2 linked regions of the Caenorhabditis elegans genome follow. The protein of the gene in region 2 interacts with the protein of the main gene of each other region in a pairwise test. Each region holds a gene or a part of one and is shown on either strand. Other genes may lie near its edges. The genes, in order: cbp-1 and nfi-1.

Region 1 (4,868 bases), on a different chromosome or scaffold from region 2:
TAGCACTGACAGTAGATGAAGCTCCGATGTTTGGAGTGCTGTTACCACTTGACGGGAATGTCGAAGAATTATTGACCTGTGGAACTTGTCCATTCGGAGGAATCTGCTGATGCATGTTGGAATTCGGAGCACCTCCCCATGGTTGATTTTGTTGACTTGGTGCAACTGCCATACTACTTCCTTCAGAATGAACATCACTACGTCCACCTTCCACACCAAGCATCTGAGCGAGCTCGTTCGACGGTGGAATTGCGTATTCTGAAATGAAAATTGGTTAAAGGGTGAAATTTTAAAAAAAAAAAACTTACGATCATGTGCAGCAGCTCCTTGATTGAGTCTTGAATTCTTTTTCTCTTGAAGCTCTTTTTGTATCTTGTAAATTTTCTCAGCCAACAAATGATAATACTCTTCTCTGTCATTTGCAGATTCAAACATCTCTTTTTCGACTTTTCTGGCATAGGCTATCAAATCTTTTAACCGATTATCATTCATCGCTTCCTGATTCGGTTCCGGGAAAATCGCTTTAACCAATTTTCCGACAAGGTGATTTCTGAGATCTTTTGTGACTTGATGATGCCATTCTTTCGTACAATCTGGCATATCTGGTGGTGGCAAGTTTGGAATTTCTCCATTTCCACCAGGTGGTCTCGGTCCTCCACGATTTGGTCCGTTTTGGAATGGATTGCCATTGAATCCTTCGAATAGAGAATTTGTAATATTTCCAGTTCGCATCGCTGGCGATCCAAACTGATGAAGTCCATCACCTTCTGCGCTTCCGTTCGAATTCCCGTTGACTCCTATTAGATTTGCAAGATCGGGCACTGAAAATAATCAAATATTTAAAAAATGTTCTTGAGTAGGATAGAACGTACATGAAAATTGTAATGGAGTATCTTGTATCCTTTTGAGTGGTTTGCAGACAGGACAATCTTCCCTTGAGCAGTTTTTCCAGTGAGCTATTATTTGGCGAGACGATGCACAATGAGCGACTGAACATTTTTTTGTAGTTTGTGTGGTATCGGCTGAAAGAGATTTCAAACAGTGGCTAGAGTGAAGCGAAATTTTGGGTGGGAATAGGCGCTTCTTCTTGCGAAAATGTTCGAAACTCTTTCCAGATAGAGAAAAAGAAGCGACACGACGGGTAATATACTTACAATGACATAAACGACCAACATTGCAGCTTGTCATGTGTGTCAATACTTCTTTCATCGTTGAGCAATGGGGTAATGTACAGGCAGCATGTGGAGGTGGTTGATTCTTCGCAGCGAAATCACGATTTTCCTGTAAAAGCTGATGATGTATGAAGGAAACCAGAACATACTGTATAACATACCTTCTCACGTTGAGAACATTTGTGTGCATGAAGTAATAGAACAAGTTGTTGCTGAATAAGCTTCCGCTTCTCGGGATCTTGATGCGTTGCAAGCATGCTTGATCCAGGAGTTGTCGCCCTTCCAGCACCATTTCGTTGAGCTGCCGCCGCAGCTTCTTGCTCTCGTTGTTGCTGCTGTTGTTGTTGTGCAGCCGCCTGAGCTTGAGCTTGTGCAGCAGCTTGCTGTTGAGCAGCGTGTTGTGCTGCAGCAGCTTGTGGTCCAGGTTGACCATTTGGAGGACCGTGTGACATTCCTGGATGCCCATTGCTCATCATCATCATTTGATTCGGGCCTCGAATCGGTTGACCATTACTGTCCATCATCATCTGAAATGTAGAAGATTATTGTTATGATTCCAAGCAACTTCCAACCAATATTTGTGGAAGATTAGGGAATTATTGGAAACTTAAGTTTCAATTACACATCGATTTTGATTTGGCCAAATTCACGTCAAGCTAATAAGTGTTCCATTTTTGTTTGATCTTCAAAAATTGTCAGAATCGCACAGTTAAGATCATGCTGATCTTACCAATTTTCTAGGTTAAAAACAAAAAAAATTCCCGCATTTTTTAAAGATCAAACCAAAATGAAATAGAAATCAGGAAATAGTTTCTACTTACCCCTTGATGCATCATTGGATATCCACCGGGACGACCATATTGTTGCATAAATTCTGGTCGCTGCTGACCATATTGTCCGTGTTGCATAAACTGCCGATCAGTCATCATTGGCTGCATCATTGCTTGTTGGTTTGGAGGTATTCCAGGTCTTCCTTGTGTCGGCATTGGTCCACTTCTTGGCATTGCTCCATTCATCATAGCACCACGTCCCATGGGTTGTCCAGGAGTTGGTCCGCCCCGACTAACTCCTGGATATCCTTGAGGCATTCCCTGGGCTCCTGGTGGAGGACCACCTTGTGCGTACGGATATCGATGCATCATTCCTGGGAATTGTTGTCCTTGTGCACCCATCATCATTTGCTGTTGCTGATCTCCTTGGAACATTCCTGGTTGGCCTGGTCGCATTTGTGGTTGGCCTGGGCCTGGTGGTTGTGGACCTCCAGGACTGGGCCCCGGCACTCGACCCATAGATGGAGGTGACATCATATTCGGTGTACCATTTGGCATCATTGGACTCCTATTAAATGCATTTTGCTGTCCAGGCGGATATGCCTGCGGCCGAGGTGAATTGTTCGACGTTTGTGATGGATTCATTAGAAGTTCTTGAAGCACTGATCCATTGACACCTCCTCCCATATTCTGTGGCGGCTGCTGAGGTTGCGACTGTCCTGGTTGTAGATTGAACCCGCCATTGTTTGATGGTGCTGGTTGTGGAGTGCCTTGTGGATGAGGTGTCGAGCCAGAAGGACCACCGGATCCTCCAGCTGATGTGCTTGGATTATTGTCTACCTGAACAACAATTTTTATAAAACAGAGTGTTAATTCAAACAAAAAAACTTACATCTGTATCTTTACTAGAAGTTGGGAATGCTTCGAGACTTTCGAGAGCACTTAGCGCATCTAACCCAGAATCATAGTCTGAAAAGTTTAAAGGATCATACCGTAGCATCTTAACTTTCCTAGCAACTTACCGCTATCAGCGCGAGATTTTTTTGATGGTGGTTCATCCATCAATTAGTAGAAAAATGTATATATTTGACAAAATTCGAACCAAGTGAACTCTTTCTACTTCTCGGAACACCTGAATTGGTTGCGTCCGTCGGTTTTTGAATTCCCACGTCAACCACTACTTCATCAGAGTTCCCGCTTATTTGGGTTAGTTTGGCAAAATCACCAGATATAGCTGTTTGTTTCTGAAAAAAATGAAATGGATATATGGATTTTTGTCGGTGAACGGAGGAGGGAGGAGGAAGAGTGAGAAGAACATCGGTGAAGTAATGAGTGGAGGGTGGTTAGAGAGCGAGAGCACTTATGAAAAGAGGAGGCGAATTGAAGAGAGACAGACAGTGAGAGAGAAGGAGATGGAAAATCAATAGAATGAACGGAGGATGGTTGCACTTTTTAAAGTTTACCTGCACCATTGTATAAGTTGTTTAAGCGTGTAATAATAGAGAAGGAGCGTTTAAATGCTAAAATTGAATTAATAACATCAAATTCCAATGAATGGGTTACTGTAGCTATCATAAATTTAGAGCTTAAAATTGGATTCATAGCCAATTTTGCAAAACTTCGAAAACAAATTTTAATTAGAAACACTATAGTAATATACGGATTAACAAAAAAAAGTTGTTATGCAGTCTTGAGAGATATTTTTAAAAAATACTATGCATAATGAAGAAGGCGGGCATCTATATTGTGAAATTCGGGTATTTTTAAGCATTAAAGGTGTTTGGGACCATTAAAAACATGAATGCTCTAGATACTTACAGGTATATCTAGCTCGATCGATATTTGCTAAGCCAACCTTATGAGGCTAACTTCTCTTTCTCAGATGATCCCGTCGATTCACATGGTACTACTGACCCGATTCTGAACTGTATTTTGACTTAAAAAGTTGCAAAACATTTTCCACGTGACACGTTCAAAAGTTCATGATCGTGAAGAAGCGCAGAACACCGTTCGTCAAAATAACATGGTCAGTGGGAGAGACGACAGACAGCACGAGTCAGCCACCCACGAAGTAGTGTGTATCGGGAGAGAACGCCGACAGCGGGTGCCCCATGCTGTGGGTGTCTCGCAACGAAAACCGCGTTTCGCGAGATACGGTAGAACATTAACCGCACGCGACACGCACGCACACGAAGGAATATGCCATTTGGACAGGCTCCGTTTACAAGCATCTAATGGATCGAGATGAAAGTTTTGATTATAATTTTTGGTGTGATATTGAAGAAAATAACATTATTAACAAAGTTTGAAAGATGAGAGAACGAGAGCGAAACAGATAGATGAATGATGAGGTTGCAAAGATAAAAGTTAAATTTAATAATGAATTTGAGCTACTAGGAGCAAAATACATAGAAAATCGTAGAGCAATAGTATTTAGTAGTTGAATACTGTATATTATCACTTCGTGTAATGCCAGAGTAAGAGCCAGACTTGAAGCTCTGAAAAATCGATAACCACGATTGAGCACTTAATGGTTCAGTTTGTGAGCTCGCATTGAACTCTCATGAGCCGGCAGTGGCTTGAATAGATAGAGAATAATCGAAAGTGTAATGTTCTAAAAGGAAATTATCAAATACCACCGGAGAAGCAAAAAAACTGAGGAGGACGGAAGAGCGGCAGTTCAAAAAGTGCGAGAGGCGGGGCAATAGCCCTCCTCGTCCGACTGTCGATATCACCAAGAGAGGCGGAGCGACAGGGTGGCGGAGGGTGGTAGACTGGCAGTAGTTCTCAGTCATCCCAATAGACTTCTGAAGTTGACGACGATGAAGACTGAGATTCCGGACGACGACGCCGTGCTGCTGTCCTCAAGATTGTAATAGTGTGGCCGAGATGGGGCGGGGCCTCCGTTTCACACTCTATGCGCCCC
Region 2 (6,701 bases):
ATTCCAATTTCTTTTGAATCTATGTTGTGCTTCACGACTTGATAAAAATTCAAGATTCATTAAAATACGTTTTAAAAATTAAATAATCTGAACTACCCACACAAGAAATGCAAACATGAGGTTCAAATACGCAAAAAAAACATAAAAGGAAAACACTGGGAAACTGGAAGTGGTGATTACAATTGTGCATAGCTACGACGTTTTTTCAAAGTTTTTCAGATTTACAAGATAAAGAGGTGACGGTGAAGAAAAGAAAAGGGAAAATGTGTGGCCCCGTAAACAATTGATTTTTTTGTGGATTTTGGTTTTCAAAAGAGGTTCGGAAAAATAGATTATGACGTCACAGACGGAGAAAATGTTTTGAAGATTGAAGAAAAATGAAAATAATAAAAATAACAACTAGTTTGAATAATACTAAAGAAGGACTAGGTTTGATAACTCTAATTTTTCAATTGGTAACACGAAAGGGATAAATAAAACGAATAAAAAGATTAACAGGAATATCAAAATCATTTTTTCTCATTACGAAGAGCATGTGAAAAGTCAGTTGGCAGCTTTGGAGCATTCGGATCTTGTGGAGTATTTGAGACCGGTGCTTGATTTGCAGCTCCTAGAGATGAATTTGATGATGACGGGGAGCATGCTGGTGGAGCTCCAACGCTAACACGAATCTGGCGATGAATTACACAATTAAAAGCTTACATCTTTCGATTAATTATTTTCGTAAGGTGTTTTTCAGAATAATTATAAAAGCTGCTGATTATAAATGTTTATAAAATATCAACTTACTTGATGAAGAGGTGACATTGCATTTTGAGTTTGCTGGACGGCCAGTGCAATATTTTGAGGAACGGCCAATCCCATTGCTACACCCAACGAATTCGATCCGCTGAAGAAACTTTTTTTGGTTAGACAAGACATTGATTTTAGATTGAAATTTGAAATTAATAAAATTTTCAAGCTTTTGGCCAATTTAAAAAAAAGTATATATTTCTGGAAAGATTTTTTTAAAATTACATTTTATTTTGATACATTATTTTCAGAAAAAAAACAATATGGTTCAACTTACTTGCTTGCAGAACTATCCGGACGATGAATCGAATTACCAGGAACTAATCCACTCACAGCTCCCATTGATAATGCCGAAAAAGCATTTCCACTACTAAGCAATGGAGATCGAGAATTGGTATCAATAAGATGTTGAATGAAGCTATCGTCTGTAAAAAAAAGCAATGGGATGATAGTTCAATGTTCATAAAATCATACTTAAAGTTGTTCCGTCATTACTGTGTGCAAGTTGTCCAAGTACATTAATCAATGAATCATCTTCAAGCATTCGAAATGAAGGAGTTATACGAGGAGTTGTGATGGGTGATGGAATGATTGAATTACATCCTGACATAATTGGTTTCACTGCAACTGGAGCAATTAATTTCACTGATGAATCAACTGGTTTCGATGATAAGATTGGTGGTTGGATTTGTGAATTACAGTAGCTCGTGCTCGGTTGATTATGTTGCAGATGTTTCTCTTCGATCTTTTGGAAAATTTTGCTGAAAAGAAAAAATTGTTTAACGATGATCGGGATACGATGCCAAACCTGAAGCTTGTTGTATCTCCGCGTGCTGTTGTGAATTTTGTTGGGCTTGCCATGTATCCACTACTTTCTCTGCTGATTAGATTAGAAACAGCAGTGTGAGTCGGTGAAATATCGCTTCCTAAAGCTCCTTCATCTGAAACAAAAAAAATAAATTCAACTTTTACTAAACATATATTCTTCCAAAACTACGATACCAGGTCTCATCACGACAAATATTTATGGAATACACAAATGTTTGCGCCTTTAAAGTGTACTGTAATTTCGAACGTTTGTTTCGTAGATTTTCCATAGACCGGGTACCATATTTTTTTAGCTTTTTAATATAAAAAAGTTTCGTGTTTGAAAAATATTAGTAATTTTCGCGAGAATGAGGGTCACGTATACAAAAACAACTAACTTTTATTCATTTCCTGATTGCAATTCAAAAATTCAAATGAATTGCTCGTATGCGGATGCATTCTTTTTCTGCCAACTGGACTTTCTCGCATCGATGGTGTCGTTCGAAGTGAGCTCAATGCATTCACTATATGTTGAGCTGAATTAATATGATTTTATTCATTAAAATTATCGTGCTTACCATGAATCACATGCTCCCGATTTCTTTCATCAACAACAACGACTCCAACATCGCCATGATTTCCAGTATTCACTGTCATTCGACAAACGGGTTTTGCTGTTGAACGGAATGCACCCGGACTCCTCGCAGAATCTTGACTTTGAAAATCGGGAAGCGGTCTCACTTGCCGACTCGTTCCGGGAGCTCCTTGATTTTGTTGTGTACGAGAGAATTGGCCTGGTGCTGCCCATATGGAGCTTCCGAGTACCAATTTTTCCGTTCCACTTTCCACTATCCGCCGAACTTCGTCGTTAGTGCTGAAATAACTGTGTAAATATTTATATTAATTATTTTTTCAAGTTCTACCTGGAATTAGGAGAATCATGCGATGATATATCCCGACTTCGTTTCTCTGAAGGTCCATCGTTGGAATCCTCCGACATATCCATTTGTTGAGAATCAGATGTTCCCGCGATGGGATAAGGAAAACAATTTTGAATCGGAGGAGGTGGTAGACATAGAACAGATCTTTTTGCATTGAAAAAGTTGTTGTCGACTGCGGTTTTGTTAACCATATACGTGTTTCCCGCAGAAAGAGACTGTTGGGCAAGAGTAGCACGACCACCTGAAAATTTATTTTAAAGTTTGGAATTCTTATTGGAAATTTGCAATTTCGAGCCAATAATATGCAAAAAGGTGTGCTCAAGGAGTACTGTAATTTCAAACTCTTGTTTCTGGGGAATTTCGATTGAAATTGAATATAAATCTATGAAAAATAGAGGGAGAGGGAATTTCTAAGCAACGAGAGTTTGAAATTTTGGCACAAAAATCGCGTTTGAACAGTTTCACAAAATTTTAAAGCCCTTGACAATTTAACATATTTATAAATTAATCAAAACGATTTATCTGCGTCGCAAAATGGATATATTTTTATTTTGAATAAAATTGGATTTTTTCGCTGACAGAATGTCATGGTGAATTCTCAATAGCTTTCAATTTATTCATTGCTTATAGAGAGTTTTAGAATAATTTAATCTTACCAAAATAAGTATGGCAAGCTTTCTGTGGATCATAAGTGATAATGATTGTTTCCGCATTTCGTTCGGAATTCGTTTCCCAGACACGAGTATGAGTAGAACTTGTGCCAAGAACTGCATGAGGAGCTACAATTGTCTGTTCACCGGGCTCTTGCTTTACCATCACTGTATCAGAAAGTTCATCATTTCTCGGATAGGTCAATGTAATTTTAGTGTCAACGTCTTTCAGATAGTTTGCCATAAAAACGTCAAGACCGCGAACACTAATCGCCATATGAAAAGGATTTATGCACAGAGGGTGGACACATGCCTCGGATCGTTCGAGACGCTCGCCGTCGGTGCTCTCGAGAGGAATTCCCTGAAAAATATTAAATTTATTTGAAGTATTAGGCAATAGGATTTTTAAAAACTCACTTTAAATAAAATAATAGTAACCAGATCAAGCCTCCAAACTTTGTCAGCTTGGCGTAAGCAATCAATTCGCCGCATTTTCCCTTTCTGATCAGCAACTGATATAATACACTTGTTCGGCTCACTTCCATTGATCTAAAAAATTGGTTTCGCCTTATATTAAATCAATTATAAATATTGAAATACTTACAGCCGAAATAAACGCTTCTTTATCGTCATTTTGAATATCTTTTTTTATTTTTCCCAAAAGTCTGGAAGCCCATTTCACTTTTAATTCATCTCTATCATTCTGAAATGCAAACAATTTTCTTTATGATTTTTGTTCATATTTATTCGTATTTTACTTGTAATTCTGCTAATTTCGCGTTTTCTTCACTCGCACACATCTTCTTATCAAATTCTTTGAAGTGCCGTCGTTTTGCTGCCTGAAAACAGGGGAATGAAATTGAAAAATTAAAAATTATATTCAATAATTCCTACCTGCAGATGAAACCAATTATAGGCACTTGCTCTGACAAAAGGTAGAAGTTGTTCGACAAATGGTCCCATATCTTCCTGTGAGTAAGGACTGAAGCATTTGATACCATTGGCTTTCGGACTCACGGCTTCTGGAGAATTGAATTGATTACTCCAATCAGAAGATGGTGGAGGCATTGTCTGCTGTGCCTGTGAGTCTTGAGGTGCTTCTGATGTTGAAGCTGTTGCACCAGTGGTCGTCGAACCGCTGGCGGAGCTGACATCGATCTGAAAAGTATTTTGAGTTTATTTCTTTGTTTGATATACTTATACGAGTTTTTTTTTTGAAATTTCAAATTAATAATCAAGTTTTCTTTTTTACCTGAGATTCCATTCGTATAATTTAAAATCAAAAGTATCTACAAAAAGAGTTTATATTTTCATATATAATACTGCATATAGGAAGAGATAGCCTTTTGATGATAGTTGGTTCATAGCAACAGCAAAAATACTCCACAAATTTAAAGAGGCGCAGATAAGGAAACAAGCGAAAAGATTTTGAATGAATAGAATCACACCGCCCGTCGAGCGAATACTCGTCAAATTAATCGATATGAAGACCGGCATGTGTGTGCGAGGTAATTATTTGCAGCGAACCTGCTGCAAAATGTTTTACAACAAATAAATTACCTTGAGATGCGGCTCCATTTTATTCAAAAAATCTCCCAGAGCTGGAAAAAAATCGCAATGCTGCTGCGATCGGTGTCCTGGCTTGTGCTCAGATAATCTGCATTCTGAAACACTTAAAAATCGATATCACAAATTGACAAGCGTTAAAGAAGAAAAAAGCGGCACCGAGCGCAAAATATCATGAGAAAATAAATGATTGAAGAAGTAAAATATTTTTCGAGATTAGTTTTCTGTCGAAATAATAATAAACACTGGCAACAATTTGAATTAAATGAATTCTCGTTTAATCAATTTTATTGAGCTTATAGAAACACTTCTTCTGATTCAAATATATTTTTGGAAACTTTATAAATTTTTCTGCACATTCATCTGCTCATATTTTGCTCTTTCATAGCCAATATTAAAAATACAGGTGGTCTGGGATGCGCTGCGAATCAAACTACGGTAAATTAACTATAGAGCAAAAATGCGCAGAGGGTCGTACAAATACTAGTCCAGCGGCCATATTTCAAACGGAATTTTCCGCGCGAAATCTTGATTAACTGACAGATGACAATTAATTCTTAAAAATTAAAATGAAGATTATCGAATTTTTGAAATTTATTTATTAATTATCAACAAATAAAAAATTTAACGAAAAATCTCAAGCGATCTGTTCAGAAAAAGAGAAAACTCATAAACAAAAAAACAAAGAAGAAAGTATCGATTAAATAAAACGGCAGGTCTCGCAACGATATTGTTAACTATTGCAAAATGGTGCGCGTCTTTAAAAAAGAGTACTGTAGTCTCAAACCTCCGTTGTTGCGGAATATTTATCGGTTTTTCATAGTTTTTCTCAAGGCTTGTGCTTAAAGAAATGTTGTTTCATTGTTATAAAATTTTTAGCAAATCGTGAGAAAAACTATTAAAAATCGATAAAAATCGCACATCAGTTTAACGTTCGAAATAGCTGAAAGTTTCTTGCGAACATGTGAAAAAACAGAAATTTCGTTTTGTAAAAAAACATTTTGCAACATACAGAAAAAGATAACCTCGAAATTTATTTTATTCATTTGTTTGCTCCCTCGTTCCATAAAAAACAAAAATCATGTGACATCAGTTCTATAGCATGCTAAATACAATGCTCAAGTCGTCAGTTCAACAGTTCAAATCAAACAAGTATTAGAGTTTAATAATAACACGTGGTGTCAGGATCCCCCGTTACGCTTTGATCTACAGAAAATGCGGGATTTTTCCTAAAAAATGTGACGTCAGCACGTTCTTAACTATGAGAAATTAGTTGAAAAGGCTGCGCCTAAATTCCTGCCGTTCTCGTAGATCTTCACATGGGACATTCTGACACCATGTCTAATAACATAAAAATAACTAGAATCAAAAAGCAGATTCTTCAAATCTTGACAATGAATTAAACTTGGATGCAAGACTTGCATCTGATTGATGAACTGGATTCTTAACTGTTCTTCTTGGAGCAGGAGAAGGTTCCGGTGTATACTCTTCAACTTGTGCTTCTTCTAGAATTGCCATTCTCTTTGGTTTTGGTGGCCTATTTCTATAGGCTACAGGGTATGCTGGTGAGGTGCCACCAATATTTGAAATTTCACTTTCAGTCCCATCGAATGTCTCATCCTAAACGAAATTCTATAACTACAAGCCATACGTCACAATTTTTTGAATTGGATCTGCTCATTAAAATTTGTGATTTTTTTTTAATGCAAAAAAAAGTTATTCAACAAACAGATAAAATTGATTACAAAAATGTTTTCTGATGTAAGATTCTCCAAAAACTTAACATTTATTGACAAATAGTATTATTCTGTTTTCTACACTATTTTCTGAATAACTCAGCTCAAATTGTTTAATTGCCTTATTGACACCACCTGAACAGATTGCTCAATGGATTCATGCTGCATTTTGAGAACTTGAAAATACGTCCGTCGAGCCACAATGAATG

The links.
Region 1: the proteins of nfi-1 (region 2) and cbp-1 interact in a two-hybrid assay, tested with the Caenorhabditis elegans proteins (one large-scale study listed by BioGRID).

What each region holds. Positions count from the first base shown.
Region 1 is NC_003281.10:9,764,834-9,769,701, reverse strand, and holds the start of cbp-1 (Protein cbp-1), read right to left. Parts: upstream 3,193-4,868; 5' UTR 3,005-3,192; coding exon 2,965-3,004; intron 2,912-2,964; coding exon 2,835-2,911; intron 2,783-2,834; coding exon 1,994-2,782; intron 1,700-1,993; coding exon 1,334-1,699; intron 1,282-1,333; coding exon 1,155-1,281; intron 1,023-1,154; coding exon 873-1,022; intron 822-872; coding exon 309-821; intron 259-308; coding exon 1-258. UniProt on the Caenorhabditis elegans protein: Acetyltransferase enzyme. Acetylates histones, giving a specific tag for transcriptional activation. May prevent DNA damage-induced apoptosis by inhibiting cep-1-dependent transcription activation of the programmed cell death activator egl-1.
Region 2 is NC_003280.10:7,536,347-7,543,047, reverse strand, and holds nfi-1 (Nuclear factor I family protein), read right to left. Parts: upstream 4,769-6,701; coding exon 4,751-4,768; intron 4,349-4,750; coding exon 4,085-4,348; intron 4,030-4,084; coding exon 3,949-4,029; intron 3,894-3,948; coding exon 3,795-3,893; intron 3,740-3,794; coding exon 3,608-3,739; intron 3,552-3,607; coding exon 3,197-3,551; intron 3,032-3,196; exon of another isoform or gene 3,011-3,031; intron 2,782-3,010; coding exon 2,523-2,781; intron 2,474-2,522; coding exon 2,178-2,473; intron 2,136-2,177; coding exon 1,998-2,135; intron 1,734-1,997; coding exon 1,601-1,733; intron 1,554-1,600; coding exon 1,267-1,553; intron 1,218-1,266; coding exon 1,070-1,217; intron 890-1,069; coding exon 790-889; intron 672-789; coding exon 510-671; downstream 1-509. Other genes in the region: ZK1290.13 (MARVEL domain-containing protein), read right to left, coding at 6,122-6,376, 6,628-6,701. UniProt on the Caenorhabditis elegans protein: Probable transcription factor which recognizes and binds the palindromic sequence 5'-TTGGCANNNTGCCAA-3' present in promoters. Plays a role in locomotion, pharyngeal pumping, egg-laying, and life span.